Oreochromis niloticus: one gene and its partners. The protein of the gene in region 1 purifies or fractionates together with the protein of each later gene. This does not show direct contact. Links are inferred from orthologs where the notes say so. Each region holds a gene or a part of one and is shown on either strand. Other genes may lie near its edges. The genes, in order: stk3, slmapa, map1b and vapal.

Region 1 (8,272 bases):
TGTCAGGCTCTGTGACACCCATCTGCTGTTTTTGGCGACTCTACACTGAGTCACAGAGCTGGAAAAGCTACTCCAAGAAATCAAATGAGGAAAATAAACAAGAAATAACTTTCTGGTAGCAAAATTACTGTAATTTTCTAAAACTATACATAGTTTAATTAATTAATCACGAAATTAGCAGTTAGATGAAGCTCCTCTAACTATGCTATAGTATCGTTGCTATAATCAGATTTGTTTATCCCAGGATCACATGCTGTGTAAGAGAAAAGAAGCCGCTCATGTCACCCCCCACCTGCTTCAGCACACCCCTCAATGGCCTGGGTGTACTTCTCCAATGCGTCTCCAAACTGTCCGTGTTTGAAGAGATGGTTCCCTTCATTCTTGAGCCGGGCCAGGTGAGGAGGCAGGGCCCCGGCGGGAGCATCCAGGTAACTTGTGTCCACTGCAGGGCTGTCCTCCTTCTTCTCTTGCCCACCAGCAGGGCTGTTTTCTCTCTGAGTGCCATTGACCGTTCCCTTCTCTGGAGCCATGTGAGGCTTTCCCCCGCTGCTTCCACCCCGGCTCCTCGTCCCACTCCCTGCTGTGGCCTGATCCGCGCTCGCTGCCCCTCCTCCGCCGCCCGGAGGTTTCTCCTGCGCGTTCCCCATAGCTGCACTCCCTCTGCAGTGTGCTCAAACTCTGCCTCTCCCTCTCTCAGAGCCGCAGCTACATCTGAGCCTGGATGGGGATTTCTGCTGGACACACCCCCGACATGAGGCGTCAGATGTGATGTCAGCGAGGGGGAGGGGGGAGTGCCACAGCGATGCAGTGCTGCAGTAGGACAGCTCTGAAGGGAGAGCCTCAGTTTAGACTTCAGAGCAGAGGAAGCCTGGACCAGACACACACATGCGAGACACTTTAATGCTTTAATTCATCAAATTTTAAGAAAAAAAATATTATAATTTCGATTATACGTGATTTACGCTGTATTATTGGAGGAGAAGTAACTGACAGGCAACATTTTGACACAGTGGAAAGATATAGATGATTAATTATTCTTAGGATAATTGGAGTGAGCTGCAAATCTGATCAACAGCAAACAAACAGATTATTAATCATGTAAAATTACATTTTGTAGATGGAAAATCCAGTCCAGTAATGAAAACAATCATTGAATCCAGTCCTGTTTGTCACCTAAAGGGTAGTTCAGCAAAGTAATTACTTTGTTGATGAGAACACGTTTTTCATAACTCTCTCAGCAGCATCTTAGCTGGAAGCAGCTCTCTGTTCAGCACCGGGAAATTTCATTAGGATTATTTTCTATTGGTCGACATTTTGGCATGTAATTGCATCAAATCACAGGTTCACACAAATGTTTTACACATAATTTTAGTTTTTTATTATTATCTATTATTTGTTGTGTCTTACTTGTGTAATGTGTACAAAAAACAAAGACACTGCTGGAGTCTCCTCCAGCTGCCCAGCAGCAAGTAAGTCAGAAGAATCTGTCACAGATTTTCAACATTTGTACAAATTAAACCAGTGAGACGTAGACGTGCTGGTATGAGGATTTTTGCACCTTTGAGTAGAGAGAGTGCAACAGTTTGAAATCTTTGTGCTAAGCCAAACTAAAAAGTTGCCATGCAGATATTAAGGGACTAAATGCACTAAAAAAAACTGATTTAGATTTAAATCAACTTAAAGCTAAACTTGGGGAGACCGTGTAATTTAAAGAAGTTAAAGCTATCATATTGCTGTTTTAGATCAAAAATACACTCAATGGACACTTAAGTACACCTTGCTTGTACTGGGTTGGTCCCCCTTTTGCAATCAGAGTTGCCTTAACTCTTTAATTCTTCTTCTATTGTGCAATTTTGGTGAGCCAGTATGTTTCCTGCTCTTTGTGGACAGGAAACTGAGGGACCCAATGCGGTCTTTTGTTTACATTGTGCATTCAGATACGCTCTTCCGAATACCTTGCTTGTAAGCAGTTGTCATTTGAGTTACTGTTGCCTTTTTCTTTCTTTCTTTTTTTAAATCACCTCAAAACACTCTGTCCAATCCTCCCTGGCATCAATGATGCAATTTCCCCAAAAGAACTGCCGCTCACTGGATATTTTCTCTTTTTGGGAGATGGCTGTGGGAAAATCCTCGTAGATCAGCCAGTCTGGTACCAACAATTATCCCACAGTCAAAGTCATTAAAATCACCTTTGGGGGTGAGGGGAAGAAAACATCGAAGTGTCATTTAATCTTTATTACTATGAAAAAGGCCCCAAACCAGTTTGCATTACACAAAATCAGGTTACTTCCCCCTGCTGCATTTTATTATTCTGAAAGGCAGACTTCATTTCAGGGGTCGAAAAGCTGCAAACATCTCATAGCAACAGACCAATTACACGTGACTACATGAATATAGAAAAGTCTACAAGAGCTGAAACACATATTTTCCTGTCGTCATGGAGATGCTACCAATTAAATCGGCTCATCAGTTAGAAAAACTGGAAAAACAGTCACGACCAATTAAAATACTTATTTTTTAATAAACCAAAACAAACTTTCATACATCTTTGACAAGCAAATGTATTGTTTAGACGGAGAATAAAATGAGTAGTTCACAAATCTGAAGCCAGGTCTATTTATTTACATGATCCCACACTACAAACAGTAAACAGAGTCAAAACTGCTCCTCTCCTCTTCTTCATCGGGCATCGAATACAACCACTGAAATCAGAGAGTCAAGGAAATCCACAGCAAACGTAGCAACCAAAAAATATCAATCAAAAACAAAATATCTGAACACTCTTTAGCATAAAGATTCATGTCTGAAATTAACTGTCAGTTGGTCATTTTTAATGTTTTCACAAGTTGTCTTCATGCACACAATGTCAAAAGGATACATCTCTTTGTTCTCTTCTTGTACATGATCCTGTAGCCACACTCTCTGCATCTGATCGGATCGCGGGCTTTGATTTCGTTCTCGGTGTGACATTCTGCAAGTGATGAGAGAAATCATGGTGTTATGTGTTCAAGTGCAGTTTGAGCAGAGCAGAGCAGCGGGCAGCACATAGTTTTTCTGCTGATGTTAATGACAGAGAAGGTTTGGACCTCTGCAGCTACTGAGTCAGCAGAGTGTTGGTAACTTTTTTTCACTTAGCGCACGCCTCTGAATTCAAAGAGGTGTGGCCCAATATTTTAGTCCATAATGTGTAAGGTGTATTCATTTCAGTTCATTCAGATTGTTACTGAGTTTTTACACTTGCCACAAAACTTGTTAGTACTAAAATCAGGGTGGTTCCTTTTCCAGATGCAAGATGACCAACATTACGTAATCATGGTGAAATATGTGTTATTGGTTCCAAAATAGTAACAATGTATCAGACTGTGAAGGAGGTTTAACATTTCCCACTGTAAACATTTAGTGAGCCTAATGTGTATGTTATGTCATCCAGAGGTCTCCACCAAGGTGGATTAAGTAGTAAAAACACTATTCAAACACAAGAACATCATGTAACTCTCAGTTAGTACTTGTGTTTTGCACCTGGAAGCACAAATACCCACAAGGTAAAAAAAAAAAAAAAAAAAAAATCATACATACATACAGAACAATAAAATTATCTTATTCCAAGCTAACTATGATTAAAACAGAGATTAGAAAAGGGGTAGGGGTCATGAGGCTATAAAGGCACCTGAGATGTAATTTCAGTGAATGGAAATCCCACACATGCCAGGTATCACAGCTTTGAATGCACAGACCGGTTTACAATAGGCAGACCTTGTGCTCCAAGTGTTATTTAGTACTAATACTGAACTCATATTTATAATTATAGACGGTAGTTATGCGAATTTTCTATAATGTACATTTTCATGTGTTAGGCAAAACAGGACATGATATAGTGTGATAGATGGTTTTCTCTAAAAACTAGTGCTGTAATACCTGAAAAAATACACTCTCAGTTATCTCTGAAGCATTAATTACGGATTAATCCTTAATTTATTAATGTCGGACAGGCTAGTTTTAGAATCTAAATTTAGCTGTAGTTTATTATTTGTTAACTTATTATGAGAGAATTGTTACTACGACGGAACACAATATGAACAATATTTAAGGTCTCTGCGGTGTAATGTAAAAAAAAAAAACATCCAGAGGAGAAGCAGCCGTGATGGCAGTGATGAAAGGTTTGCATTAGAGCAGGTAAGATCGTACTGTTTGCATTACCCGCGGGTGTATTATTAAAGTAAAAGTTGTAATATACCTCCACATATGTAGATCATAGGCTGCTGCTTGGGCGGCTGTAGATCTTTCTGCGTATCCATTTCTGATTCTTAACAAAAAAATAGAGACAGAGATATAACTGTTAACAACATGCTAACAGAAACAGCATGGTATTGCCCGAAACAGACTAAAACAACCCATATGGTATTTAGAGCAAACAACAAATATCTTTAAAGTATCTAAAAACGCTGCATAAACCTAACAGATATGAAGTACACAGGATGGAAAGACAACAACAAGGTTTCTCACCGTTTAAACACGATAGCTGCTAGCTGTTTACCTCTCTTTTCATACTCCACAAGGCTCCTGCCTGCACATGCGTAGAACAGTCGTTCACCTCACAGCAAAGTCGCTTGTGATTGGTCGGACGATGTCTTTGAATGAGACCAGGAAAGCATAGTTGTATTTTGTGGACAGCTCTATTATCAGTAACATTTTATTCACAAGTCTCAGTTGTTTAATAGATACAAATTATTCGCTGTTTCTAAGGAGAGTATTTTTTAGCCGTTTTGTTTGTACTCCGCTCCAGCAGGGGGCGCTGCGGTGAGGCCGTAACACCGTCATCCGACGAGCCCTCAGCTGGCGCTGCTTTAGTTTTTGACAACAACGACTCAGTCGACAATGTTCTCGCCCTGACTGCTGGTCCCAAAAGTGCCACGAGTCCCTATTAGTCTGTTTTCTTTTTAGTTTTGAAGTCGTACATCATGGAGACGTCTGCGCCCAAAAGGTTTGTGTTATTTTAACTGCGCTAAAAATGCTATTATTATCGAGCTAGCCGAACAGCTAACGTAGGCGGTGGATGTCGCCGAGCTCGCTGATGCTAAGCTAACTTAGCGTTGACAGTCTTCTCTCAAACTTTCAGTTCTGTTCACGGATGTACAGATCGTTCCTCACACAGAGACGCTCTTTCTTGAGCCCTCAATTGAGTTTCTAATAGATTTGGCTAATGATGTGGTCGTTTTGTGTTCCCAAGTTTCTGTAAGAGTGTTTTGTTCAGTGGTTTGATTTGCACTTTAAATATCATTCAGTCGCATGTTAACTGAATCAGCCTCTAGTTTCCCGAGTGTCCTCCAAAAAATGAATTGCATTGTTTCTGTGTATCTTTTTATGTCTAATATTGTTGAAAGTATTTGTAAACAGGCTTTAGTTATTAGGATTTATGAAGGGGTTTTTATATATATGTGTATATATATATAATAAAGACGTGATCTCTCTTTATGGGTCTGCGTTATTGTTATTGACTTTCTTAGCCACTTAAAATGTCCTTGTAAAAGTTAAAGGTCCTCCATGTTTTGGCTTGCCTGTTTGCGCAATCTCTATTGGAAAAAAGACGTTTTGAATGTCAATAACACTTTTTATCCAAATAAATAAAAGATATATAAAAGTCACTTTGCCAAAAACTAAATGCAGCTTCTACTGCTTGCTCAAAGTGACTTGAAATCATTCATAAGAGAGAGGTATGTTTGATAGGTCATAGGCATTCATTTAGAACTGTTTAAATACCGGACACGGTATTTTTTGGCACAACTCCTGAAGACAAACCAGTATTACACGTTACTGATTACTTAGTTGGTTTCTGTGCTGTGGTGGTTCACGAGTTCACAGGCTCAAAAAAAAGACAACGCAAGTTAATTTTACCGAAGAGCTTTTTAACCACAAGGCGACAGATCTGAAGTCTTTGTATGATTGCTGTACTATTTTTAAACTATGAGATCACACATGTTCATCTTGAGATGAGAAATATTTATTTATTCCATATATGAGCACCCCTTTTATTACAACACTATAAAGGATGATGAAATAATAATAATAATAAAGTAATATTATTAAACATTTAGGTTGACAGAATTTGGTAGGAAAGATTTTTAGAATAGTAAAATATTTTAAAAAATGAATAATAACAAAATCAAAAGAAATTAGAACTGCTTTGGAAATCATTGACAAAAATAAAATTGCGTAATATAAAGACAAAATAAATATAGAGTAAAAATTGCTTAAAAGTTTACTATAACATTAATAAATATACAATGAAATTAAAGAATGAGTCTCCAAAAATAAATATTTGAACAAAATAAGTGATGATGATAATAATAATCATCATCATCATCATAAATATAATAATAGATATTGAAGTAAATTACCAAAAACATATAATTATAAAACACTATGTGAAATTCAGACTGAATAAGTTTTTTATTTTGGATTCAAGGAAAAACAGCAATATTTTCAGCTCTTCTCACAGTCAGTGAAAGGCTTCTCTGAAAGACTTTGAGGACACAATACTTAAACGTTTCTGTTCTGCTTAGTGGAAATTAACAGGAACAGCAGGATGTGAGGGCCTTTCCAGCTTCATATAGCACAAGCTTTTCTAAGAGGTAGTATTGAAATACCCTTATAATGGGGAAAAAAACACACAATCTGTTTGTGTCTTTGTCAGAGCTCATGTAGGATCATTTTTAAATGATTGAATCTTTTGATTCATTGTGTTTGATTTATTCACTAGAGCCAGACTGAGGAACCTTATTGAAGCTTGCGTCACTAAGTGTTGCTCAGGGAGAAACGACCTCCTTTAGTCTTGTATTGCACGTGATAATATTTTTGATCAAGTCAGAAAATAGTGAACAGTGCATGTTGGGTTGTGCTTTCACTTTCACAATAACATTTTTTGTCGATCACATTGAACTTAACTGGCTAAAATGACATTCCTGCTCTGAGTAAAATAATGACTTATTCCTGTTGTTTGGCTGCGGTGCTGATTTTTATCTGTGAAGAAGTATTACCTCATATTGTGGTGTTTGAAAGCACCGATGCACAAACCTAAAAATATCTTTAAATTACAACAAACGGAAATTATAACAAGTTGCAGTCCCAGTGTGTTTGACATTTATGTCCAGACTAAAAATCACCCACAGCCGTTCATTTATTTACAAATGCTGAAACAATGCCGTGTCTCCTGTTTTGTAATGTTTAGATTTGCCTTTTCCACTTATCATTGCTTTCACTTTTATATTCCTGTCTTATTCACTTTTTACAGTAAGCTGAAAAAGCTGAGTGAAGATAGTTTGACGAAACAGCCAGAGGAAGTGTTTGATGTTCTCGAGAAACTCGGTGAAGGGTAAGAAGTCTTAACTTCCATTTTTACAGCTGACCATTGCGTAATGAATCTCTTTTTAAGTGCTGTCAGTTGTAATAAAGCACTGCGGCCGTACATGTGACTTTAAGCTTTGTGTGTGTTTCTAGTTCCTATGGCAGCGTGTTTAAAGCCATTCATAAGGAGTCCGGCCAGGTGGTGGCCATCAAGCAGGTGCCTGTGGAGTCCGATCTGCAGGAAATCATCAAGGAGATCTCCATCATGCAGCAGTGTGACAGGTGGGACAGCAGTATGTCTTTAACCATACCGCCAGTTTTCCCCTTAAAAGCAGAGTTTTTCCTCAATATGAAAAATGTGGCGTCCAGTAAACAGTTTTGAGAGAAAATCATTGTTTATTTGCAGGCTCAGAATACATTTTTTGTTTATCAGCTGCCCCAAATAACAGGGAAGTGCACAGTTGTTCTGTTTAATTAGATAAGAGCCTCTTAGTGTTAACTGTACGCAGACCAGTTGCACTTAGCTTCCTCTCAAAGGTCCATTCTGAGCCAGGAAAACCCTCAAAAGACATTTTACAGAGATAATAATGGAGGAAGTATGACATCATCATCATAGCCTATGTAGCTCTCTCGTGTCTGGATCCATGAGATTTTTTTTCTCACTTCTGCTCTGTATCTTCTCCTTTGATAACCACTCCATGTTGCATTTCCTCCCCAGCCCCTATGTGGTGAAATACTATGGCAGCTACTTCAAGAACACAGACCTGTGGATTGTGATGGAGTACTGCGGCGCTGGCTCTGTCTCTGACATCATCAGACTGCGCAACAAGACGGTGGGTGTCTACGCTGAGCCGCAGCGACGTGTGTAACTGTGCTAAAACTTAATTTAAAAGTGCCTTTGACCTGTTGTCAGTAATGACTGCAATGGCGG
Region 2 (7,668 bases), on another chromosome or scaffold:
ATAATAAAAAATAAAATAAAAACACTAAAATATATGCTTAAATCAATACAGTTGCAAATAAATTACTGTCAAAAAGAATTAAAAAAAAAAAACCTCTAATCAAAAAGAGCTTAATCAACCTGTACTTTATCTTTTGAAAGAATGGGTACAAATAAGTACTTTTCACAATTAAGGAACATGTATGTACCTTTCAGACGCTAAAAAAGGTACAGACAGTTACCCCGAGGTCCAATATTTGTCCTTAGACTGTATTAATGTCATTTTTGTACCTTGGGGCACAGTAATGTACCCCTTCCGTACCCCTATTTCTGACTGTGTAAAGTAATGCAAATTTAAACCAATTCATACTAAATGACTTATATATTGTGTTTGGTTTTAAATATTCCTGCATTTTATATCTTGAGCCACAGAAAACCGTATTTGATCTGTCACTAAATAAATGTAAATGTACATTGCTTTTTTACATACTTTATTGTCATATGTTTAGCTTTTTAACACAATTATTCTTTTTTCGTATTTTATTATGATTTCGGGGTTTTTTTTTCATAAATAAAGTATATGTTATCCCATGAAAAAAACAAAACGAAACAAAACAAAAAAACTGTGCATACTAAAGAGCTAAGTTATCAACTAAACAGAAAATAAATCAATTAAAAAATCCAAAGTCCAAGTGAGACCTTTTTGGGGATGTTCAAATATCACATGGTACAAGCATGTAAGTTATAATGAATGTAATAGTTTCTTATGTTTTTATACATTCTTATGTTTTTGTATACAGTTTCAAATGTAAAATATTCACATTGATAACCTGACATTAGTGATAATACATTCAATATCCAAAACACTTTCCATCGATAGATAATGAAATGCAATGAAAGAGATCTGGGAGCACACAAACCCCAACATTTATCAGATCACTAAAGAGTGTTGTAATTAAACTAAGATGTAATGGAGTTCAGCTTCTAAGGCTTTGTATCCCACAAACAGCCTCTGTTAAATGGACATAGTGATGTCAAACTGGGCTAAGAAGCTAAACACAGTAAGATGCTGTTAAATCTCATATAATAGTCAGACTGTTAGCACAGTGACAGCTGGTGCCCTGCTCTCTGTGCAGGAGGGCTGGGCAATGCAGCAGGGACCACGATGGGGTCTATCCCACAACCAAAACCTGCACCAGGAACACTTTACCGGGAAACTCCAAAACTTTAAAATGAAAACCTATAACAAGGGTATCAAATACAAGGCAGAGGAGCCAGAATTGGGCCGCTACAGTCCCTGATCTGGCCCACTGGATGGCTTTGGAAAATGTGAAGTAAGGCATACATTTTGGACTGCGCTGTATTTTAATAAATTTAACTTTTTGTCTTGCTGATAAACCTCTCCCATGGCCATTCATATTGCACCAAAGTATTTGCTGTATTTGTGCAATCTCTGTTAGTTTATAGTATATGTATAGTCTTTGTTACTTAATTATAATCCAAATCCAATTTGGGATCTGGACTTTATTATACTATCTGTAATTAAGTAACAGACAAAATTAAATAACAGAAAATGTCCTGTTTTTTTTACTATCAGCTATAGAAATTATGTTCTTTCCGTAAAGAACAGAACCTTTCTGTTTTACAGCACAGTCTGGGGAATGATCTACCCACAGTTTAAAATGACTTTAATATCACTGTCCTATAAGGTCTGATGTTTACATCGCAGGAGTCTGTCAGTCACTCAGTCCTTATCTCGTCCTTCACTCTGGTATATTTGGAACAGCCTAATGATCAGTCTGATCCCAAAGTGAATCCTGTTTCAATCCTCTGCCCTCTTAGACCTACTGAGATCTCAAGCAACAGTACAAGGTCTTATTCCCAGAAACATGCCCTTTTCTTGTGATGAACTAATTTACTGGCTTACATAGCTCAACATATGTTTTTCTTGCTGGGATTTGTTGTGAAGATTGATTCCCCGTGCATCTTCTTACAGTTTAGTAATATGAACGAGGCCAAACTAAACAGCCATGCAAGAATTTAAATATTCTGATCTCATCAAACCTACTCAGTCTTGGACATTTAGAGGAAAAGAGGCTGAAATGCTTTACATCTTCAACCTCTTTAGGCCCTTGCTCTTCTCCATACACTTTGGAAGTAGGTGAATGTGGAATGCACTGAATATTTCTCACTTTTGAAAAATTAGGGTCAGAGTGTAAGGAGTTGATAACTCTGTCTGACACCAGGCTGCTTTTCGGGTTTCTTGTTTTGAGGAAGTCATTTGCTTTAATGTGCATGTGGCCCTTTAAATGGTTCAGATATGTTTCTGATCATGCTGGAAGGTTTCTGCATGTTTCGTTACAGCTCTGCTGTATTATTGAGGCTGATTGAAAACAAGGACTAGCAACAATGGCTTGAGGTTAGTTAGGAAAGCAACAACTCAATAAACTCTGAGAAAAAGTTTAAATACTGCAAATAAGTTCCTTCATTTTAAAGGAATATTAAAAAAATGCCTGTGACCTCTTGACTAACTTAATATGAATGAGAACAGCACCAAACCTGTCTGTCTCTTTCAAGAAAAGTGTTTTTTCCCCCCAAAACTGATGAAACAACAACATTCCCAGTCTTAAAAGTTAGTGTTCAAACTGTTCAATTAAATTTTTAGCTCTTCTTTTCTCAGTAAAGTGTGTAGACTGAAGCCTGGTCACAGTTCAGCTGCTAGAAGCAACAATTATATTTTTTATACTTCCTTATAACCAACAAAAAAAATTGATGTGGAAAATTCCAAACACTTATGGAGAGTAATTATGAATACTTTAGTCACATGCCCTATAAATTATGGCTGAATCTAAGAAGAAACAGCAAAGCTTTGCTTTGTTTTTATCTGCTTTACAGTCTCATCCACCATCGATTTAGTCTCAGCTGTCTGTTCACCAGAGCACCACAGGGACATTTCTGGGGCCAGAAGCAGAATTTGATCTCCTGTAAAACCACCCCCAACCTGCTGTCCTACCCCTAAACTGCATTGCTAGGATAACGCCCATCTGATGCAAACTGAAAAATACTGCTCTGATTAATAAACTGCAGGTGATGAGAATCAAAAAGGTACTTGAAAAGAAACCAGATGATTTTTTTTAAGCAAAGTAGATAAAAATCTGTTCTGTTTTTCCTTTCTAGGTTATACCATTTATTAGGACTTCCATATTTCTTAAGGAATTAATATATTCAGGCCTGTGTAACGGACAATGAAAAACAACAAAAAACAAGAAGAAAAGTTCTGAAAAAGAGACTGAACAATAATCCAGTTTCCATATTTAACACAAAGCAGTCCATGTTCTTGAAATAAAAAAATCCACTCCAGTAAAACAGGGAAACCACAGCAAACAATAATAAAACAAAACAAAACAACAAAACAGAGAAATTGTGTGGTTTACAAAAAGCAGCTTTTCTCAAAGATCCATATTCTAAACAAAATTCAGCCCTTTTGCCTTTCAGGATACCGTTTCATGGAAGATTTGACATCATTTGTTTTATCTTGTGTTTAAGGTTTGGTTTATGAGGGTTTTTTTCACCAAAACAATGCTTCTAGCTTTTATGTTAGCTTATATATTTGTGTTCTCCTGTATATAAACTAAGTAGAAATAGATTTGGGTCTATAGTAGAATTTCTTATGAAATAATTTCCTCACACGTCCCTTTGAGCTCTGAGGGAGTTAGCTACATTTGTATTTGTGTGTTAGTCTGAGGTATTTTCACTGTCTGGGTGGTTTCTAGTCCTCCAATCTTTGCGCAATACGTTTGGATTTTCATGTGAACTCTTGTAAAGATGATGTAATCAGATTATAGGATTTTTGTATAAAGTAATTTTCTTTATCATCATTATTTGAAGAAGTGTTTGTACGTGAAATATGTTGATGTGCTTTAATACCAACTTTGTAACACCTTACCCGTATGTACTTTTTTTTTACATTTAAAAAAGTGCTTATAATTTTATCGTCAGTGTTAATCACGTGGTTATTATTTTTTTTAATAATTCATAATTCTGTATGTATCTATGTATTTATCTATTAAGCTCATTACTTTTTCCGAGTCTGACTTAGTGAGCTCAGCAGTGGGTGGTGCTCATGTCACCTGGTCAGTGAATGCATCCCTCCGGCTGTCTATCGTTCAGTGAACGCACCACCGCTGTCTGCTCTCTAGTTACAGTATGGCGGCTGGGACTTGCGGAGGAGGACAACTTCTTCTAGATTCCTTCCACAAAACTGTTGGAAGGCGACGGCATTAATATAAAACTTATAGCGGCAACCACGAGGTACACTGCAACAGACGACAGCGGCATAACTTGTGTTTCTTACTGGGGCTTTCCCCAGAAAATAATCGGACTGGTGTGTGATGCGTGAGGACCCGCAGTCAAGAAACTCCCCTGATTTTTCCGCGTCGGTTTCTGCTCTGACTGTCAGTTAGCCGGCTAGCTGCTAGGTAGCTCCCTTCAATGCTAACGCTCGCCTGCAGAGCTCTGTGTTAGCAAAAAGAAGCGCTAGCGTGTTGCTTTTATTTACTCCAGGTGACAGGGATGGTATATCGTATCCATTTGGTAAGCGGACTGGTTGAAAAAGATGGGGAGAAAAAATTTGTGGACCTGGACGATAACTTTGTCAGTACTCATTAGCCTAGCCTAGCTTAGCCTAGCTTTCTGGTACAACGCCAGAAGAGAGTTAGCGCTTCGCCTGTCCACCAGCGAGTTAGCCAATTAGCATTTCAGTTGCACAAGACGACCAGATAATCCCCCCCTGTTCATCCCGGTGGATGGTTTTGAAACGTCTCCGCTGACTAATTCAGACGAAGAGTGGGCACTGAGCTGCTTTAGTTTTATAACTCAGGGGTGTTTTGGCGTTCAGGCTCGCTAGGTGTTCTCTGGTAGAGGGAGTGGTGAAGGTAGGGAGATAGGAAGGTAGCTAAGGTTCCCTGCATCAGGGCAACAAGGTCACTCAGATTATGACGAGCCATACATGTCAACTACACTTATAGATGACACTTTAGTAAACGACAGACGCGTGTGTGTTTGTGTGTATAGGGTGATGAACGCTGGGGTGTGTGCCTGCTGTTAGCTTGCTGCAAGAGAAGACAACACAGCTCAGAAGCGCGCAATAATTGGACCTACTGCTCTTGATAGGCGTTAAACAGACAGTTTAGTCAGCACAGAAGGAGTTTGATGGACGTGAGGGGCTGTCAGTGCTATACTCACTCATGTATGTCTTGACACATGGCAGCTTGGTCTGTACATAGTGCCTGCTGTCACATATAAGCGTCGTTATGTAGCTTCGGTGGGCAGTCAGTGAGGGGAATGTCCTGTCTTTTTTTTTATACCTGTTGGTTTGTTTTTTATTTCTCACACATGAGAGAGGACCATGTTTACTAGTTAGTGCCTAGAAGATTAGAGGACTAACGTTTTAGCCTACAGATAGGCCGCAGATATTGTAGATTATTACTATTTTTTTGGGAGGAGGGACTGCACCAGAAAAACCTGCCACTCTGGATCAAGAAAACTTGCCCCTCGTCTCTGGTTGGAGTAATACTCTCAAGCCAAAATCAATGCCTTCAGCGCTGGCAATATTCGCCTGCCGACCCAACTCGCACCCATTCCAGGAGCGGCATGTGTACCTGGATGAGCCCGTCAAGATCGGCAGGTCGGTGGCTCGGTGCCGGCCAGCCCAGAACAACGCCACCTTCGACTGCAAGGTGCTGTCCAGGAATCACGCTCTGGTGTGGTTTGACCACAAGACTGGCAAGGTAAGCGGCAACAGCACTGAAAATGACCTCCTATTGCTTTACTTTGGTGTTTATGTGGGCCTACAGTAGATGGATACTTTACTTCATGTCTTCTTGTGGGTTGGCCATATAAAGAGAACCACCAGTGAGAAATATCACCTCATTGGTTTGCATCTTTAAATAGACAGGAATAAAAGGCCTATAAAGAGGAATTTTGCAATGTTAGCTGCTCATCTTGTTTACTTATATTTTCCATGGATGATCCCAATTAGCTCACAACCTTTCTTTTACTGTGTAAATAAGGTTATTACCTAAGAGCTTAAAATATAGCAGGAGATCCAACTTATTCCAAACTGAATCATGGTAACCCTTACATCAACTTGGATTAATTTAATATGCCTTATAATTGTGACTTGAAGATTTATAAATAATGTTTACCTTCATGGCACAAGGGAGCAGATTTTAATACAGCTATCATTATTAATACTAATAATGATTGCTCTGCTGTGGATTTAACAGGCTGCTGTTCAAAGTTTGAAATGTATCAGCAGGTTGTGGGATGAAATGAAGAAGCAATGTTAACAACGTTAACACTGGCATAATCTGTGTCACTCTTGTCAGTTATGCTGATGGATTTGTTTGTGTCACTATGAACTGTGGGGAAGCATTGTCTCTTTAGTAATAAAGAAAGTAGTGAAGCACTTTTTTTTTTTTTTAAGTGTTTAGAGCAGGGGTGGGCAATTGATTTTTCCCAAGGTGGCCACGTGAGAAACTGTGACACTTGTGGAGGGCCACACCAATAAGCTGAACTCAGTTCTGCTCAGTTTTCTCTTCTTTTTCTCACGTGAGCCCTCGAGAAAATGTATTTCCCCCCACAGTTTAGAGAGTTCAACCAGCACTTCTTATTGCTTCCTTGTCATTTCTGTTAGGAACCTCCATAAGAACAGCTGATGCTGTGACTGTAGTCAGGGCTTTTTCTGGCTCATAATAAACTTTTAAGGGAGTGGGGCACTAAGCAGGATTACTGAGTGTGTAGTTGAGGTAGGGAGGCTTACTTAACAAATGTGTGCATTTTCCTGATATTGCCCAGCTTGCCTAGCAAATTAAATATGGCTTTAAAACCACTTAATTGATAACTCTTTGTTCTGTGGACTGATGCACCTGAAAGATTTTGGAGAAAATCTTCACACGCTTACACATGTTTTTAAATTTATTTAAGTAGTTGACTTAATCTGCTATCTAAAATTACATAATTGGAAAGGATCAGGATCTACAGATGCACCAGTTGCAATTTTCTTCAATTTTAACTGATAGCATATACCCACTCTGCTTCAATGCAAAGTTTTACTTTCATAATAAAATAAATTATTAAACTTAAGAATTTTCCCGCAAACTGCAGTACATTACAAGATCTTCTCTCATTGGAAAACTGAAAATAAAGTGCTCCGTCACTGGAAAGAGTTACAAATAATTGAATGAAAATAAGGTGCTGTACACCTACCTTTACCTGTCATATTTTATGTAGGCAAACAATGTCAAGTTCAACAGATTTATATAACAAAACAAATGTCAGGTACTTGCATCATTTCCTAGTATTTTTATAACTTCACCAGATAACAGGGCATTGACCCTTCTCTCTTTTCCCACTCATCTCCATAATTTGTCTCGTAATTGCTTTGATCTTTTGCTCACGCTGAGGTTGCTGGCTTGTGTCTGGCTCTAAGTTGTAGCTTTAACCACTTTTCCTTTGTTAGGTTCTTTGTCTCAGTGGGATTGTTGTTATGAACTTTTTCACTCTTGTGTTTCACTTTGGCAAACTGTGTCTTCACTTGCAGTGAGGAGGTTAGATGGTTTTGACATAGTGTGTGGTTGTGCATGTGCACGTGCATATGATGATTTGTCTGCATTGCTGTGTGCATGTG
Region 3 (8,165 bases), on another chromosome or scaffold:
AAACTAAGTCTACATATTTAACTGGAGTTAAAGCAAGTGCTAGAAAAATATTAATGAAGGTTCTGTTTTATTCAGGTAAAGTATAATGAAGCCGATGTTACCTTCTTTTTTTTAATCAAAAAGGGTGCTGTGACATAAATTAACTAAAAGTACTGGATTATGGATTTTTCTGTGCCGCTCTCAATAAAAAATTCCCTTCCTAAATCTCACACTGTCATCAGAACGACATCGTGCTCAGAAGGGTTTAACAGCTTTGTAAGCTAACAAAGTAGAGAACATAGTAAACACTTTAATGAAAACAAAACAACATAATAATTATGATCGTACCGGCCTGGCTGTATTGCTGTCAACCTGTAATACTGATACCCAACAGACTCTATATGTCACTTCAGAGACAGACAAACTGACAAAAGGCGGCGTGCCAAATAAAGGACATTTAGCCATATTTTCTGTGTTTCAAGCTTTACATTTATAATTAAGGTACCACTGATAGAGGGAAATCTTCTGTGTTTCATCACCAAATATAGGGCTTTTACAGTGTTTTAACAGCAGCTTTGAAAGATTTAATGGTGACTTTTTTCAGTCTATTTTATTTATTTTGTATTTGAATATGAACAATCTGAACTTTGAATTTAATTCAGTCCGAACAGATTTTGCTTCCTGTTCATTTCTTTGTGGAACAGAGCTAGAAATATTTCCTTCTGGCACACATTTTTTTTTCAATGTGTATTTTTAAGTTGTTGCTTTTTTAAACATATACCCAATTTAGTCTGTTAGTGTGTCTTATTAGACTACTGTTCTTGCCATTTACTAGGACCAAAAGAAAACAGGAAAATGGCATGACCGCAGCTGATAACCTTTCATTTACTGTGTTTCATGAAGGTCAGCTAAGTCATTTAGTGCCTCAGAATGAAATTAATACAGTACGTCTCGATTGCTGGTAGAAGAGTGAGATATAAGAACTTCTCTGGCAGAAACCACTGGCCATATAATAGAAGTATAAATGCAGCTTGATTTTGAGTTTCAGTGCTACCTGGTTTCATAGTAAAGAGATATTGTGCATCATCAGCATAGAAAATAGTTACTAAATATGTGCCCCAGTAATATATTTAAAGTGGAAAATAAAGAGAAACAAAAATGGACTTTTGGTTGACACAAAAGCTGGCAGAGTGAGATGGAAAAAATTTCCTTAATAGAATTAAGTGATCAAACTGTATCAAATGCAAAGTAGAAGAAAAAATATATGAAGCACTCCTACAGCGCAAACCTCCACCAAGATAGCTCATTCACTGGGCAGTATTTACTTTCAAGGGAAAGGTACTGTATTTTGTATATATTCATGTTGTTTTCTGTGTTCTTTTTAAACAAATTTTAGAAGAGTGTTCTCCTCTTTGTTGTGATCACTATTGTGGTTGATTTGTGCTGTTTGATATGTTTGATTGTGTTGTTTTATGTTTATCTGTTTTATATTATTGTGAAGCACTTTGTGGTTTTTATCCTGTGAAGAGTGCTATATAAAGTTAAATTATATGTGTTACTCAAAAAGTAATTATTATAAATATCACACAGAAGATTTTTCTTTAAAGTAATTTAGTGTGTTACTTTATTACTTGAAAGATAAGGTAATTTATAATACTGCTCATTACATTACTTTCATGTTACTCTATAAAATAGCTGAAACACACTGTCTACTAATTGCCATTTAACAATGTAAACCCGGGGCTACAGTCCCACAGACCAACACAAATCCCTATCCGAATGAAAACACACATATGATCTTTTTCATAGTATTTATGTATGACCAGAAAGCTGAAAGTGCAAAGAAAGAATGAAAATCAGCACAAAGAGAGTTTAAAGCGATGGCCACAGTGATTCTGCTTTAGAAACATGAAAAGGTAGAAACAGAGGCTGCAGCCTGGCTGTGCCTCAATTTGTCACCCGTTGAAGTTCAGGGTCTGGCTGCTGGGCTGGGGTCAGCATTCTCTCAGCTTGCACTAGGTTCTTAGCTAGCTTAGCATTAGTATGCTGTCTGACTAGCTAAGCAGGTGCTCCATAAATACCTCGGAGTAAACAGAGATAATAAACTGGACTGGATAAAAAAAAAACATAGTCTATAGGAAGGTGCAGAGTCGTCTGCATTTCTGAGGTAACTGAGGTCTTTTTACATCTATCGGACAATGTTCAGGATTTTCTGAGTCTGTTGTGGCCAGTGGTATCGTCTATGTTGTTGCATGCTGGGGCAGCAGGCTGAGGGTCGCAGATGCCAATAGACTCAATAAACTGATCCACAAGGCCAGTAATGTTGTAGGGATGGAGCTGGACTCCCTCAAGGTGGTGTCAGAGAGGCGGATGTTGTCCAAGATAAGGACAATGCTGGACAACACCTCCCACCCACTCCGTGACATGCTGGCCGGTCACAGGAGCACGTTCAGTGAGACACTGAGATTACACAACTGCACCACTGAACAACAGGGAAATCTTTCCTGCCTGTGGCTCTCTCCCTGTAGAACTCCTCCATCTAATGCACAGCACACAGTGAAATAGTTACACCCTTTTGCACATGCTCTACAATGAAAATAACAAAGTTTTACAGTTTAGAGTAAAATGTCAGTCATACATATCTATTTTGCAATATTATGGATATTTATAATTAAGCTATTTTTATATGTTAGAGTAAATTAAATTTAGTAACTTTGCAATGTACTTGATTAATCCCAAAGGAAATTATGTGGTTAGAGTGGCTCCAAGACAATAAGAACAGTAACAGACTGAAATCAATTAAATAATACAACAGTTCAAATTTTATTTGTATATGTGATGAATAAAATTGTGTTATTTAATTGATTTCAGTCTGTTACTGTTCTTATTGTCTTGGAGCCACTGTAACCACATAATTTCCTTTGGGATTAATAAAGTATTCTGATTAAGCAGGTGACTTGTTTTAAAAAGCTATAAAATTATGTAACATTTAACAGACCAAATTTCAAAACCAGATAAGTAACAATATGAAAGAAACATGCAGTATAAATGGCTGGAAGCTGGTAAGTTTGATAAAACCTACACCACCCTCTGTTGTCTGATAGCCACTGTATGCATCTTTTGTTCCTTTCCAGAATACATTTCTTTGGTTTCCAGTGAATTCAACAGCTTATTTCACTTATTTTTTTTAAGTAACATCCAACAAAATGGGGCTTTTGTAAGACTCATGTGAGTACTTGGGTTTTAAATCATTCAAATCTTTCAATGTTCATTTTTACATTTTTTAATGGCTTGTACATACACACACACACACACACACACACACACACACACACACACACACACACACACACACACACACACACCAATCATACATTCCTGTCTATCAAATTGCCATTGGCTCTCTATTCATCACCATCCCCCTCAATCCACACACACACACACACACACACACACACACACACACATCCATTTCGTCCTTGTCTGTATCTGGGAGACTTCTGGGGGCACCGTGTTGTATTTTTAATGGCATCCTTCTTTCCCAGCTGTGTATGATGAATGTTTGATATGACCTCCAATGGCATTTGGAGAATAGAACCAAACCCAACCCACCACGCCACAAAGCCTCTGAAATATTCACATCCAGGAGCTGCTGAGTGGATTCCTGCCCCTGGTAGCATTTTTAAGTCAATAACACACCTGCAGTGGCCCCATTAGGCTTGCCAGAGGGAAATCCAGAATGAAAGTCAGGATATGTGCGCACATGTATATGTGTATCTGTCTGACTCGTTTTTTGGTCTACAGCTCCTTTTCTGTCTCATTTTTTCCTTGCAATGCTCAAATGTAGTTTTAAAGTTGTTTGCGTTCACAGAGGCCAAAGTTTAGCAAGCAGGATTATTCTCCTGGGGAAACAGAGCATCTTTTATGTTCATATTAAAAGACAGAACTGTTTATTATTCACTGTCAACTGCATTTAATGTCTAGACACACCACACACACACACACACACACACACACTTGCAAAGAAAATATGACAGACTGGAATCCTGTGATCTCAACTCTTTTCATTTGCTTTCTGTTAGTAGTTTTCTGACTTAACCCACCCTAATATCTGATACTGCTTTCACATGAAGACTTGTGTTTTGTGAGATGTAAGATTCCAAGAATCAAAGAATTTTCCTCGAGTGACTCCCTTGAAACTTTTCATTAGACTCTATGGGAGATCAAAGAGGGACCGTGAACAGATGTATAAAGGATATTTGTAGGATTAGATGCCAAACACTTTTTTTTTTTGTTTGAAGTGATTTGATGTGTCTGGACATATAATACTTAGCCCTGCAACAGACTGCCGACCTGTTGGTGTGTACTACACCTCTCACCCAGTGACAGTCTCCCCAGCAATCATAAAGTGAAGTGGTTATCAAAATGCATGGATGGATGGATGGGAGGATAGAAGGATAGCTACCATGGCTTCAGTCAATCTCTCAGGGGTTTTCTGCCCTGATCTTTGAGTACAGCCCTTGCAATTTGCATTCATTCTCTTTGAATATCATAGTTTTTGCATGTAAAATATATAATAATTAAATAAAAAATAATTAAATGACTAAAAAAATGAAATCTCGGTTTAAAGTAAATAAAAAGTCTGTTTAAAAACTGAATCTCAAAAAGCACATCAGAATGGTCTATAAAGATTTTCACTGCGCTAACAGAACTACAACTCGTTTACTACAACCTAACATCAGAAACTGAACTCAGAGGGGTGAAACATCAGTGCTCTAAGTATTTTTTAACAGGAATAACAAGTAGTGAGGAGTCCAGCACCGATGGAAACAATGAAAAGCATAAAATCTCAGTGACTTCCGGATGCGTTTGATTCGTTGCGGATGACATCAGCTGTGGAGTGAGTATGCGAAAAAAAACTCCGGCGCCCTCGTCTCTCCCCGGTTACCGAATGTGACACTGTGTCTGCTGGTATAAAAAGCAAGGGCCACTCCTATCAAGGTTGCACTTGCATGTCTGGAGACCACTCCAAAGCTCTGCAGCGAATAAAGGGAGGAGGCTGGGATCCGCGAACGAGAGACAGCGACAGAGCGGGGGCGTAAAAAAGAGAAGATAGACAGCAGGAGAGGATGGCAACCCTGGTAGAATCTGCAGACATGGAGACTTTAGGCGGCCAGAGCAACACCGGGGCGTCGCTGACATCCTCGAGCCCCTCGCAGCACTTTAATGACAGCAAATTCTACCTGCTGGTTGTTATCGGAGAGATCGTAACGGAGGAGCATCTGAAGTGTGCCATTGCGGACATAGAGAAAGGTAAGATGGGGCTTTGTGAAAGGGGGTGTAGGCCAGAGAGCTCCGCTTGACGTGTTCAAAACAACTGGAACGGAGACGGACAGACTGGAAGTTTGGCAGCATAAAGTCCCATAATCTGTGCGGGTTTTTTTTTAAAAAAATTTAATTTTTTATTTTTTTTGGAGCTGTAGTTATTTGCAGTGCTTTGCTTTGTGCACGGTGGTGAGGAATTACGCGTGTCAACGAGTAATGAACACAATCTGAGTGTTATTTGTTGGGCAGCTGTTTGAAGTAGACTGCGGTGGGGCTGTCTGTCAGCCCCTCCCAGTAACATCACTGTGAGCTAGAGGAAAATAATCACTACATCTTCGCCCTCGGGTATTTTACCCACCATCAACCGCGTTCAGGGGCAGTTCTGTATCATTTCTTTTCTGTCACATAATATCAGTGGGTTCAGTTGTTGCCAGCCACAACACACGTGGACCTGGTCCTGTTATGAAGCTGACGAGCAATGATTCAGCATCCAGCTCGGATTGTGCGTCAGTGCAGTGAAGCGAATCGCGTCTCTGAGGGTCTCTCGCAGCACCTTGCTTTTGTGTCACAGTTCACGGCCTGAAGGAGGAAACGAGTTTTCTCTCGGTTTGTGTCGTGAAGTTGACAGTTTGCGTTTCGAGACTGCTACAGTACGCGTCCTTGAATTGCAATCAACGAATTTCCCCCTTCATCCCCGTGGCAATATTTCTCCATCACTACCCTCCTGCATCCAGCTTTCTCTCTCATCCCACACACCGGCTTGTGGGCGTGGCTCGGTCCGCACTGCGGTCCCTACGGAAAGCCAGGAGGACCCATCTTCAAAGTGAAGCGGGGCGTTTTTAGAAAGGCTACAGCTGCGGTAGAGGCCTGCCTCACTGGCCATAGTGCACTGTTTGTAAGGAGGGGTACAATGGCGCAGTATCTGCGTGGGCGTAAAATTAAGATGGGTTCATATTATCTATACCCTGCTCACTTCTAGATTTTCCATGCACTATCAGAGTAAAAGCACAGAGTAGGTGTGGCTCTTTGTTAAACGTTAAATCTGCTGATGCTGTATAGAGATGTACCAAACAAAAAATGATTAAATAATTTTGTTTTAATTAAAAAAAATAAGAGTTTACTTTTGACATGATTCTGTTGGGGCCGCAATCATCTCTCTCTCTCTCTCTCTCTCTGTCTCTGTGTGTGTGTGTGTGTGTGTGTGTGTGTGTGTATTGTCAAGTTTACACTTGACCTTGGGTGGGAAAAAAATTCAATACATACATTTATGCTGTCCCCTTCATAGTGTCTTTGAATTTAAAAAAAATCTTATTTAATGGTGTTTCTCATTTTAACTTATGCTCTCATTTATTTTTTAAAGTTTAGGCCCTGTTGCTAAAATAAGTGTTTTCAGCCCATCGTCTGTTGTTCACCTCAGAGTAACACTGATTCACTGCTGCTATCAAATAACTTCACGGAAGCCTTCATTAGGCCTTGGCTTTGCAAAATTATAGAGAGGATGACACCGCAATGAGTCAGCACAACAGAGGTCGTCCCTGTGTCTGGCACCGTGGCCAAACAGAAACAGGGATATAGATATTTCCTATTATAGATTTCATTCCTCTTGCCAAATTAAAAGTCAATCCTTGTTCGTGCCAAGATTTTCCTGTAAATTTTAGGAAGAGAATTCACGAGGGAAGGTGACTTTTCAGTTTTGTTTGTGCTTGTGTGCTTGTGTTGCAGGGATCCGCTCGTGGGACGCCAACTTAATTGACTGCAACCTGGACCAGGAACTCAAGCTGTTTGTGTCCAGACACTCGGCTCGCTTCTCTGCAGATGTCAGAGGTAAACTGGAAATTTAAGCCACAACATTTCACACCGATTAATGTCTTGAGATTTTTCTAACAGCTTCCATTGTGTCGTAAACAGAAACCAAAGACATACGCTTTTGCAGTCGTGTGAGAAATAATACGCTTAATGTATTAAAAGTAAAAACAATCACTATATAGAAGACCCCCTTTTTATTTTAATTTATTTCAATCACGATCTACCCCTGTCATAAAATATGTTGTGAAGCACAGTACATGAGTATTTACAGTTTCATAGCTGCATTTCTCAGCAGTGTCCATCATTACATCTAAGTCAGCTATATCTTCCTCGTGGTATACTAAACACGTAAGCTTTATTACCTACCACAGGATAGAACCTGTCAGCATTTTCTTACAAGGCACTTTTACCTTTGTGTCATTTGCAAAGTGAATGAGTCTGTATGAAGATGAAACACATTCAGTGTGGCAGGACATGTGGTCTATCAGTAGGCAACATGGCCTTGACAGTCCCCAGCAGTTAAAGCTTCTGCTCCACATTGAACACGACCAGCTTCATATGTGGTTAGATGTTTAATAGATTGATCGAGCTGATAAATGTGGCTGCAAACTAAATCAGCAGGTCGATTCTAATGCATTAATATCCCTGTATCAAATCTCAGAAATGAAATGCAGTCAGTTGAGAGGCAGGATTCATCTGAAATGACATTTAACAGCACTCCAGCTTCGCACTCCCTTTCATCCCGTGTTCCCATCCTCCACTCTTGCCATTTCCTCCAGTGTGCTGTTGCCTTGCAACTAGATGCACAGTTGATTTGGGAGTAATTAGCAATGTAGAATCCCTAGTGGCGGTGTCTGTCCATGAAAATAAAGAAGGGAGGGGAACGGGGAGGACTTGGGGAGCAAGAGGGTGAGGAGAAGGGCTTTTAAAGAAAGACAATGACACAGGCGGGTGGGGTGGTGAGAGGAGAGGAAATAATGGAGTAAGAACAGGCTGAAGAGAGATTGGGGTGATAAATAAGCAAGGTCACACAGAGAGAAATGCAGGAGGATGAA
Region 4 (7,814 bases), on another chromosome or scaffold:
GAGCACAAATTAAAAACAAGCGGAGCTGACGTGTTTTATAAAGACAGGAATTTGATAGTTGTTTTCAAGACTCTCCTTCTCTGTAGACTATCATAGCACTGTGGCTCTTAAACACATTGAAGTTCTTAATATCAATTTTTAGCAAGTCTAACTCCTCCACCCATGAAGCATTTGTGCACATGTGCCCCATTTAATTAAGAGGTCGTTAAGAACAAACTTAGACGAGCATTTATCTCTGTAGCTCAAATGCGACGGCTTTACATTCCTCACGTGTTTTTCACGCACATTTGCTTTAGAAAGGTTTTAACTGTAGTGCTGCAGTGGGAACAGCTTGAATCGCAATTACAGCATGACACCCCCAGCTGAAACACTGTGACCAATGCTAGAACTGTTTACATAGTGATTTGTTAAAGATGTTTTCTACATGCTGAAGTGTATTGAGATTTCATTGCAGGGAACGACTGTATACAGCTGCCAATCGTGTTTTTGTTTTTCCGTGCATTTTACCTGAAAAAGGGGTCACATTTGTATTGTTGATAATAGACAAGAACTGCATGTATTTGACTTTAAACATGTGTACAGCTGTTATATTGCATATACTAACCAAACTCTAAAGGAACTGTGGGAGCGCAGCCCTAACTGTTTATCATGTTCATCATGCTCACAGCACCACTTTGCATATTAACACAGTATCAGCTGGGAGTTGCTTTAATAGTAAAAATGTTAACTATTGCAATTCTCCTTAACTTCAGCATACAGTAGAAATTATTTGAAGGAACATGAAAATTACAATACTGACCAATTAGTTTTGCATTGTCATAGCTTAAAGATGTGTTTACATTTGTAGTTGAGTTAGTTATTTACATTATAACGTGTACAGTTTTTATCAACAGGTATGATGGGATAATAGAATCAAATTTTGACTTTGTAATGCCATAAATGTAATGATATTTACCGCCCTATATATGGGAAATTATACCAGCCTTCATTCAGAAATCTTCTAGTCTGTGTGGCCTTGCTTATCTGAAAAACATACGGTGCATACCTTTAGGTATATGACGCAGTTTTTTAGCTCAGAGGTTAATTTGTAGCAAATGTGGGGCATGGGACTACAATCTTCCACTAAACTGTACCACACAGTAATTGGCTTAAGATGAAAACTGAAATGAACTTAAGAGCTTCTTAGCGCCAGATGTAAACAATGTTATATCAGCTGGAAGAGTTATGATTGAAAACAACCTAAATACAGTGCAGAATGGATTTCTCAGTTCACGTTGTTCAGACCCCCTTTGTGAGTTGAGATTCCCAGCAATTGTTGCTACACAAGTGCCTTTTGTATGTTTTTCTAAACAAAATGTATGACATGGCTAAAATGTGCATACTGTTAGAATTAATTACTCGTGTCTGAACAAATATATACATAACACTGCCATTCCTTTACAGTCACACTCATACTGTATGCTGTGGTCATGCTTCTCTGTTTACTCTGTAGACCAGATTAACATCTGTATATTAATCAATGTAATAAAGAAGTAAACATTCAATTTCTCTTCAAATTTTACTCTTTCCAATAATGAAATACTGAAGTGTCATCAAAGATCTCAAACACTGTCAAAGGATTACAAACTAAGCTGATGTCTGTACAGGTTCTCAGTCATCCAGTAATCTAGAGAGGTTGAAAACAAAGAGGCAACTGAACTGATGATATTTCATCTATCAATCATCCAGGAGCCTTCTTCAGTTGTAAAAGTAAAAGGGGGTGAATCCCGCTCATTGTCTAAGAAACTCTGGAGAATTTTAGCCAACAAGCTTGACATCCCAGAATACTTCAGACCCAGCGACACACTTGACAAAAGCTGGTTCATCCCAAAGACAAAACTCCCAAACACAAGCTAAGTATCATTATGTTCTCACTGGAGAAAACAAACAGCTATTCCATAAACGCATGGCACAGTGTAGAAGAGCCACCTCGACAGGACAAGACTGAGCTGCACATCTGCATCTAAAGGATAAAGGCCACTCTTTGGAGGATGCCAGAGTTCAAACTTTAGACTGAGAAGACAGACGGTTTGAAAGAGGAGTAAAACAGGCCATCTGTGTCCACTGATGTGAATGATCATCATTGAACAGTGGCTTATGACACCAACGAGGTCTCGTAGTACTTTCACTTTTAACCCCCCTTAAGGTGTTGGTAATGACCCACAGCTGTCCTTTTTAGAACTGAACAAGCCTCTTTTTTCAAGATCTCTAGACTTTTAAGTTTTGATAATAAGTAAATGAGTGAGGAAGATGCAGTCACTGAAAGAGGGTTGTATCATGACATTAAGATCTTGACATTGTGAAAACAGTCTATGCAGCCTCATTTAAACCACCTCATACTGGAGTTATATGGAAATGACTGAACAATATACTGGTAAGGAAGGTATATTATGGAAGAACAAATGTCTGGCTTTTGGCTAAAGAAACGATATCACTATGAAACAACCTTTTATCTTTAACAGCAAGAAATGGTCATTATTTCTGAACATGCACAAGCGTGACACTCTGAACTGCTTTAAACACCTCAAACCATATGTAGACTGTGTCCTATTCAGTACAGCTTACTGAGGAGAAGTCCTCAATTCCCATAAAAACGATGGATCGCAGTTGTCAATGGTCTCTAAGATAGCAAGCCAGATATTAATAGTTCACAATGAGTACACACACTGCACAAAATCCCTGGATTCCTCGCAAATAGCATCTTAAATTCCCCCTTTTAGCATTCCCCTTTTCATCTACGCTCACATGATGGCCCAAAATGTGTTGAGTTTTGTCTCTCGAATAAAAAGTGTTTTTTTTCTCTTTTAGAAAGAGTTCTCCTAGGCCAGTTGGTGTTTTTCTGCACTGACTTCAGTATTAATTAAAAAAGAAACAGCTGAAGGAAGATTTTCAAACTACAGTAGTTAGGTTAGTTGGTCAGTGACAGTGACTGGATTTTAAAAAATTATCTTAGAGCAGCAAAGTTCTGAGAAGTAAAGATGGGTAGAAGGTCACCAGTCTGCGTTCAAGCAGCACTGCATCAAAAAAAAGTCATGATTCTGTCATGGAAATCACTGAGTGGGCTCAGGAACACTTCCAGAAATCACTGTCTGGGAATTAATGCTTGTGTAACTGGGAGCTTGTGTAACACCTTTTTCCAGGTGGAAAAGCAATCATCACTGCTGAAAGGTATATACACTTTTTAGAGCAACATAAAGCTCCCATCCAGATGACGTCCTCTTTCAGGAAAAGCTTTGCATATTTCAGACTATGCTAATCTGATTACTGCCTTAGTAGGAGAAGAGTCCAGGTGCTGACCTGGCCTGCCTGTATATCAGACTTTTCACCCATGGAAAGCATTATGAGCATAATGAAATGAAAAGTAAAAACAAAGAAGAAGACCTGGAATTTTTGAGCAGCTAGAGTCGTATATCAGACAACAACCAGGCGACATTCCTCTCCCTAAAGTCCACCAACTGGTCTCCCCAGTTCCCAGAGGGATACAACTGTTGTTAAAAATAGTGGTTAAAATCATGGGGTTATAAGATCTCCAAATCTAAAATAGCCTAATGTTTTAGGAACTGAGGTTGTGCAGGGATTGACTGATATCCCGAATCATGAAACTTTGCACTGATGGAAAAAAATCACTTCTGTGAAAATAAGATACTACTAAGGGACTACCGGTTTAGTAATCTGTGGTTTAGTTTGAATGTACCCATTGTTTACGTCGTAAACAAGCAGGTTTAAAGGCTGACCAGTTTTTGGCACAACACCGGTACTGTTACCAGGGCAACGTGTGACCCGTGCTACACAGCAACCTCAACATGTCCTTTAAATCACAAACAACACTTACATTTACGTTACATGTACGTTCACTAATACTTCTAACAGGTTTAACTAGACTATTGCAGAGTGAATTTAATGTGCATGTACAGTATATTGCAGACACGCGATTATGAGACTTCCTTGATTAAAATTCTCGATTAAATCAATAAAGCACAATTTAACTTGGTACCGGTCACGTCGGGATTTTATAAGATTATTTTATAACATGTTTTTCCTTCCCTGTACGTCTATCTCAGTGTCCACACATTATAACTCGTTTACTGTACCATAATCGCATCAGTTGCCAGACCACGAGTGCGCGCAACAGAGGGCTGTGCACTCGCGCGTTCAAGTATTTGTACCCACATGCTCGCTGAGCTCAGTCAGCGTTTGACTCAGTAGAGGCAGAAGGGATCCAGGATTTCCACTTGTCAGTTAACTCCACGATACCGAAATCAAGTGCATCCCTTCAGCCAACATGTCAAAGTTGGATCAGATCCTTATCCTCGACCCTCCGTCTGACCTCAGATTTAAAGGTATGTGAATGAACTATTATTTATTTATTTATTTAGTTGTTGCCGTGTAAAATGTCCAGCGAGTAGTAGTAGTAGTAGTAGTGGTGGTGAAGCAATGATTTCACACTCCCTCAAGCGAATTTCGTGCTAGCAAGCTAGCTAGCATTCACCGCCATTTTAAGTTAGCCAGGGAGCCGGACGGGCCGCTGCAGCCCGGCGCTATAGTGACGTGGATAGCCGGGCAGGCGTGCGCCCAGGTGGCCTGCTATTCAGTACCAGCTTACTGACAGTACCAGGCAAAGAGCTGGAAGGATGTGGCTGTCAGTGACTGCTTAAAAAAAGGAGAGTTAAAGTCTACACGTTAAGAAGCATGTTTGTGTATGTCTTCACATTTAATATCAGCTACTATGCTGTTGCTAGTTGTGTTAGCAGGAGTAAACTGTTGTTTCTTGGGGCTTAGGCTATTCCCTGGAAAGAAATTAATTTCAGAATGAAAAATCCGGCGTTCATCTTGATACACCTGTGGCAGGAACTTGTGAAGCCAGTAAAGTGGCTGACAGTTGGAATGACAAACTTGGTTAGCTAACGTGAACTGTAACAGCATGTATAGTTTATTTATTTTTTTTAATAGCAACACCGGGCTAACATTAGTTCAGTTGATCTAAACCTATTAGCTAAATGTTGGCTAATTTTAAGCGTGTGTTCGCATCCTGGACAAAACAGGACGGCACATTCATGGGAAAGCAGGGTGCTTCACGTATTCGGTTGGCACTGATTGCTTTTCCTGGTAGTGATAACGTCCAGTGATGTGTCAGTTAACCGTTGGCTAATGATAGCATTGGCTAGCCTGCTAATGCCAAAGTTGATGTGTAGTTGTATAACCGTATTGTTTTGCGTCTGACAGACCTGAAGAGACCAAAAATCACATTTTTTAAAAGTCATAGATAGAACATAACTTTTGGTCATTTGTGAGTCCAACTGTTGCTCTTGTGGTCAAGTGAATGAAGTGGCAGTAAACGGCGCTGATTTCAATGAAGCTAGCCCTACCAGGCCATGGGTGACACAACAATCTCCACAGTTGGACTATTTATCCTCATCATTATTCATTTTGACCCAGAAATCCGCACAGCACTTCTCGTATTTGTCCCAGTTACCAAGCTCTGTGTCTGCTGGAGGCATTTTTGCGAACTAGACAGTTATTTCTCTTTCTGTTGAATGTACCACTGTCCTGGACGAGGTTATAAGAGGACACTGGTGTTGGGACAAGGTGTGAATTGATACTGGTTGTAGCCTGACAGGATCGTTAGGAAGGACACAAGCTCACATTCCAGACCCACTGTGTCTTTGGGTGGGGTGTAATAATTTGAATGTTTTGGTGATGAGGTGTCCAGGGTGAAACTAAAATTATTATTATTTTGCCTGTATTATTTTGCCTGACGGTGACACAAGTAGAATAAAGGCAACCCCCCCCCAAAAAAACCCTCATGTTAAAACTGAAACTCATAAAATTTGTGTACATTGATTAAAATCCGGGAATGTTTTTATCATGCAAGGTGCAACAGAAAGTGTGATGGTGAATGGAGCCTTTTCCAGCAGGCTGACATTGTAATTGGACAGGGATAAGGATGTAAATCAGTAAAAACTTGCTCTGGCTTAAGTTTAAAGACATCTGGAAAAGGGTAGTAACCATTTGATTAAACTCACATTTGTTATGTCATAATAACAGCATCAATCAACAGGTTAATGGTGCTATTATGATAAAATTCTTCAATCATATTGTTGGAAAGCCACCAATAGTGTTATTTGTCTCAGACAGGTTGTTTTTTTGGGAGCAACAAGGTAAACCAGAATACATAAATGAAATTTTCTCCAGCTGAACGTTAAAATTTCATGGGTATTTAGCCTGATGGTAGACACATGGTTCGTCATAATCTGATCATGGACCTCTACTTTTTTTTACCCGATTAAGAAATTCTACTCTAATTTGACTTATTCCTGTTACTGATCAGTCACACGGTTTACATTTTCCCTCATCAGATTAAACTTTTGGCCTTTTATATTCTGGATTGGATGCAAAGCTAAATTGCATTAGTATGATGCTGTTCATACTGATCATTGTTTACTGATCATCATTGATTCATTTTATTCTTTAGCACCGAGGCCAAAATGTCTAATCCACTGCACATGTAAGAAAATCCCAATTCGTGGGTCATAAACCCCATTCTAACAATTTGATATAAAATGTAATTTATAATGAAAATATGTTTGTCCTTGCAGTAGAACCTGCAAGCATATTGTATGTTGTATATCAGGGTTTTGGTTGTATCAAAATAGTCCTTTTGTAGGGACTGCATATGTTTATGACTCTGTATTACTTAACAAAAGAATTCAGGTATAGTGGCCCATTTGCTTTCATAAAAACCAGAGTTTTGTCATATTTTTAACCGGTCATGTTTAAAGACTCAAGTCTGAATACGGGTTAAGCCCTTTGGCCACTTAACCTGTTATTGAACCAGCATCATATTAAATCTTACATTGGGGGGGAAAAACAACTAATCCCAAGTACTAAATCCCCAAAGAATCCATCGCTTAACTTTGGGAGCTGTGTGTGACCCCCCCCTTTGTTTTTTTTTTTTTTTTTTTTACATTTTTGTATGGCCCACATTTAAGTGGCTTCAGTTTTTCATGTCAAGAAGCAATCTGAGGAGAAGGAAGATGACCACAACTTCTTTACTGTCACAGAGACAGAGCTAAATCGGTCTGCATGTATCGAAGAGCTGGACTGTTTTAGAGCCTCTGCTGGGACTCCTCCAGCAAGCTAGAGGGGGCAGCCCTCCTTTCCTTGGTTGGTATTTTTAGAGCAGGACTTGCCTGAGGGACCCTAACTCAGCATACATGCAACAAGATGAGAGAGGTGCTGCTTGAGCAAAGGTAGCATCTCAGTGTTGGGCAGTGGATGCAAGCTACAGTATGTGGGTGGGATATCTGATGCACACAACTGTTTTCCAGTTTTAGGCTTTGGTGTAGTAGTGATCAGTGTGTAAAACGCATGGAAGGTAGAAATATTTTGGACTCGGTTCATTTCCAGCCTATAGAAGCAGTTACTCATCTGTGCTAGTTTTCTGTTTAGGTCTATAAAATAAAAAAGTCATGGTTTTTACCTTGTCTTTCCAGCATCATAGTGCTGAAGCTATAATAGACATTGTTTCTGGTTCTGATACTACTACAGGTAGGCTCTGTTTTGAACAACCTGGTATTGTTCTGTCAGGAAGCAAGTCATTCTTTATAACTCATCTGTGTAGCAAGAACAAAGATCCTCAAAGTACACGCCATTAACAATGAGGTTTTTCAAGTTTGTATGAAGGCATGTTGTGACTCACCTGTGATTTTTAAAAAGGAAAAAAAAAAAGCCCCAGTAGGCACACAAGTGTACATTCTGGTATTAGCTGGGTGGAG

The links.
Region 2: the proteins of stk3 (region 1) and slmapa purify together in Homo sapiens (affinity purification with western blotting; 3 studies listed by BioGRID and IntAct, with this or other methods). This does not show direct contact. The link is inferred for Oreochromis niloticus from reciprocal best matches to the Homo sapiens genes STK3 and SLMAP.
Region 3: the proteins of stk3 (region 1) and map1b purify together in Homo sapiens (affinity purification with mass spectrometry; 4 studies listed by BioGRID and IntAct, with this or other methods). This does not show direct contact. The link is inferred for Oreochromis niloticus from reciprocal best matches to the Homo sapiens genes STK3 and MAP1B.
Region 4: the proteins of stk3 (region 1) and vapal purify together in Homo sapiens (affinity purification with mass spectrometry; 4 studies listed by BioGRID and IntAct, counting the BioPlex papers as one, with this or other methods). This does not show direct contact. The link is inferred for Oreochromis niloticus from reciprocal best matches to the Homo sapiens genes STK3 and VAPA.

Annotation. Positions count from the first base shown.
Region 1 is NC_031985.2:19,957,423-19,965,694, forward strand, and holds the start of stk3 (serine/threonine-protein kinase 3), read left to right. Parts: upstream 1-4,819; 5' UTR 4,820-4,958; coding exon 4,959-4,981; intron 4,982-7,288; coding exon 7,289-7,369; intron 7,370-7,494; coding exon 7,495-7,623; intron 7,624-8,059; coding exon 8,060-8,174; intron 8,175-8,272. Other genes in the region: spag1a (sperm-associated antigen 1A), read right to left, coding at 293-647; polr2k (DNA-directed RNA polymerases I, II, and III subunit RPABC4), read right to left, coding at 2,680-2,702, 2,879-2,971, 4,235-4,295. UniProt on the Homo sapiens protein: Stress-activated, pro-apoptotic kinase which, following caspase-cleavage, enters the nucleus and induces chromatin condensation followed by internucleosomal DNA fragmentation.
Region 2 is NC_031970.2:15,724,233-15,731,900, reverse strand, and holds the start of slmapa (sarcolemma associated protein a), read left to right. Parts: upstream 1-4,130; 5' UTR 4,131-5,569; coding exon 5,570-5,767; intron 5,768-7,668. UniProt on the Homo sapiens protein: Associates with the striatin-interacting phosphatase and kinase (STRIPAK) core complex, forming the extended (SIKE1:SLMAP)STRIPAK complex.
Region 3 is NC_031972.2:15,700,998-15,709,162, forward strand, and holds the start of map1b (microtubule-associated protein 1B), read left to right. Parts: upstream 1-4,851; 5' UTR 4,852-5,108; coding exon 5,109-5,292; intron 5,293-7,026; coding exon 7,027-7,128; intron 7,129-8,165. UniProt on the Homo sapiens protein: Facilitates tyrosination of alpha-tubulin in neuronal microtubules. Phosphorylated MAP1B is required for proper microtubule dynamics and plays a role in the cytoskeletal changes that accompany neuronal differentiation and neurite extension.
Region 4 is NC_031982.2:24,672,029-24,679,842, reverse strand, and holds the start of vapal (VAMP (vesicle-associated membrane protein)-associated protein A, like), read left to right. Parts: upstream 1-4,222; 5' UTR 4,223-4,321; coding exon 4,322-4,379; intron 4,380-7,814. UniProt on the Homo sapiens protein: Endoplasmic reticulum (ER)-anchored protein that mediates the formation of contact sites between the ER and endosomes via interaction with FFAT motif-containing proteins such as STARD3 or WDR44.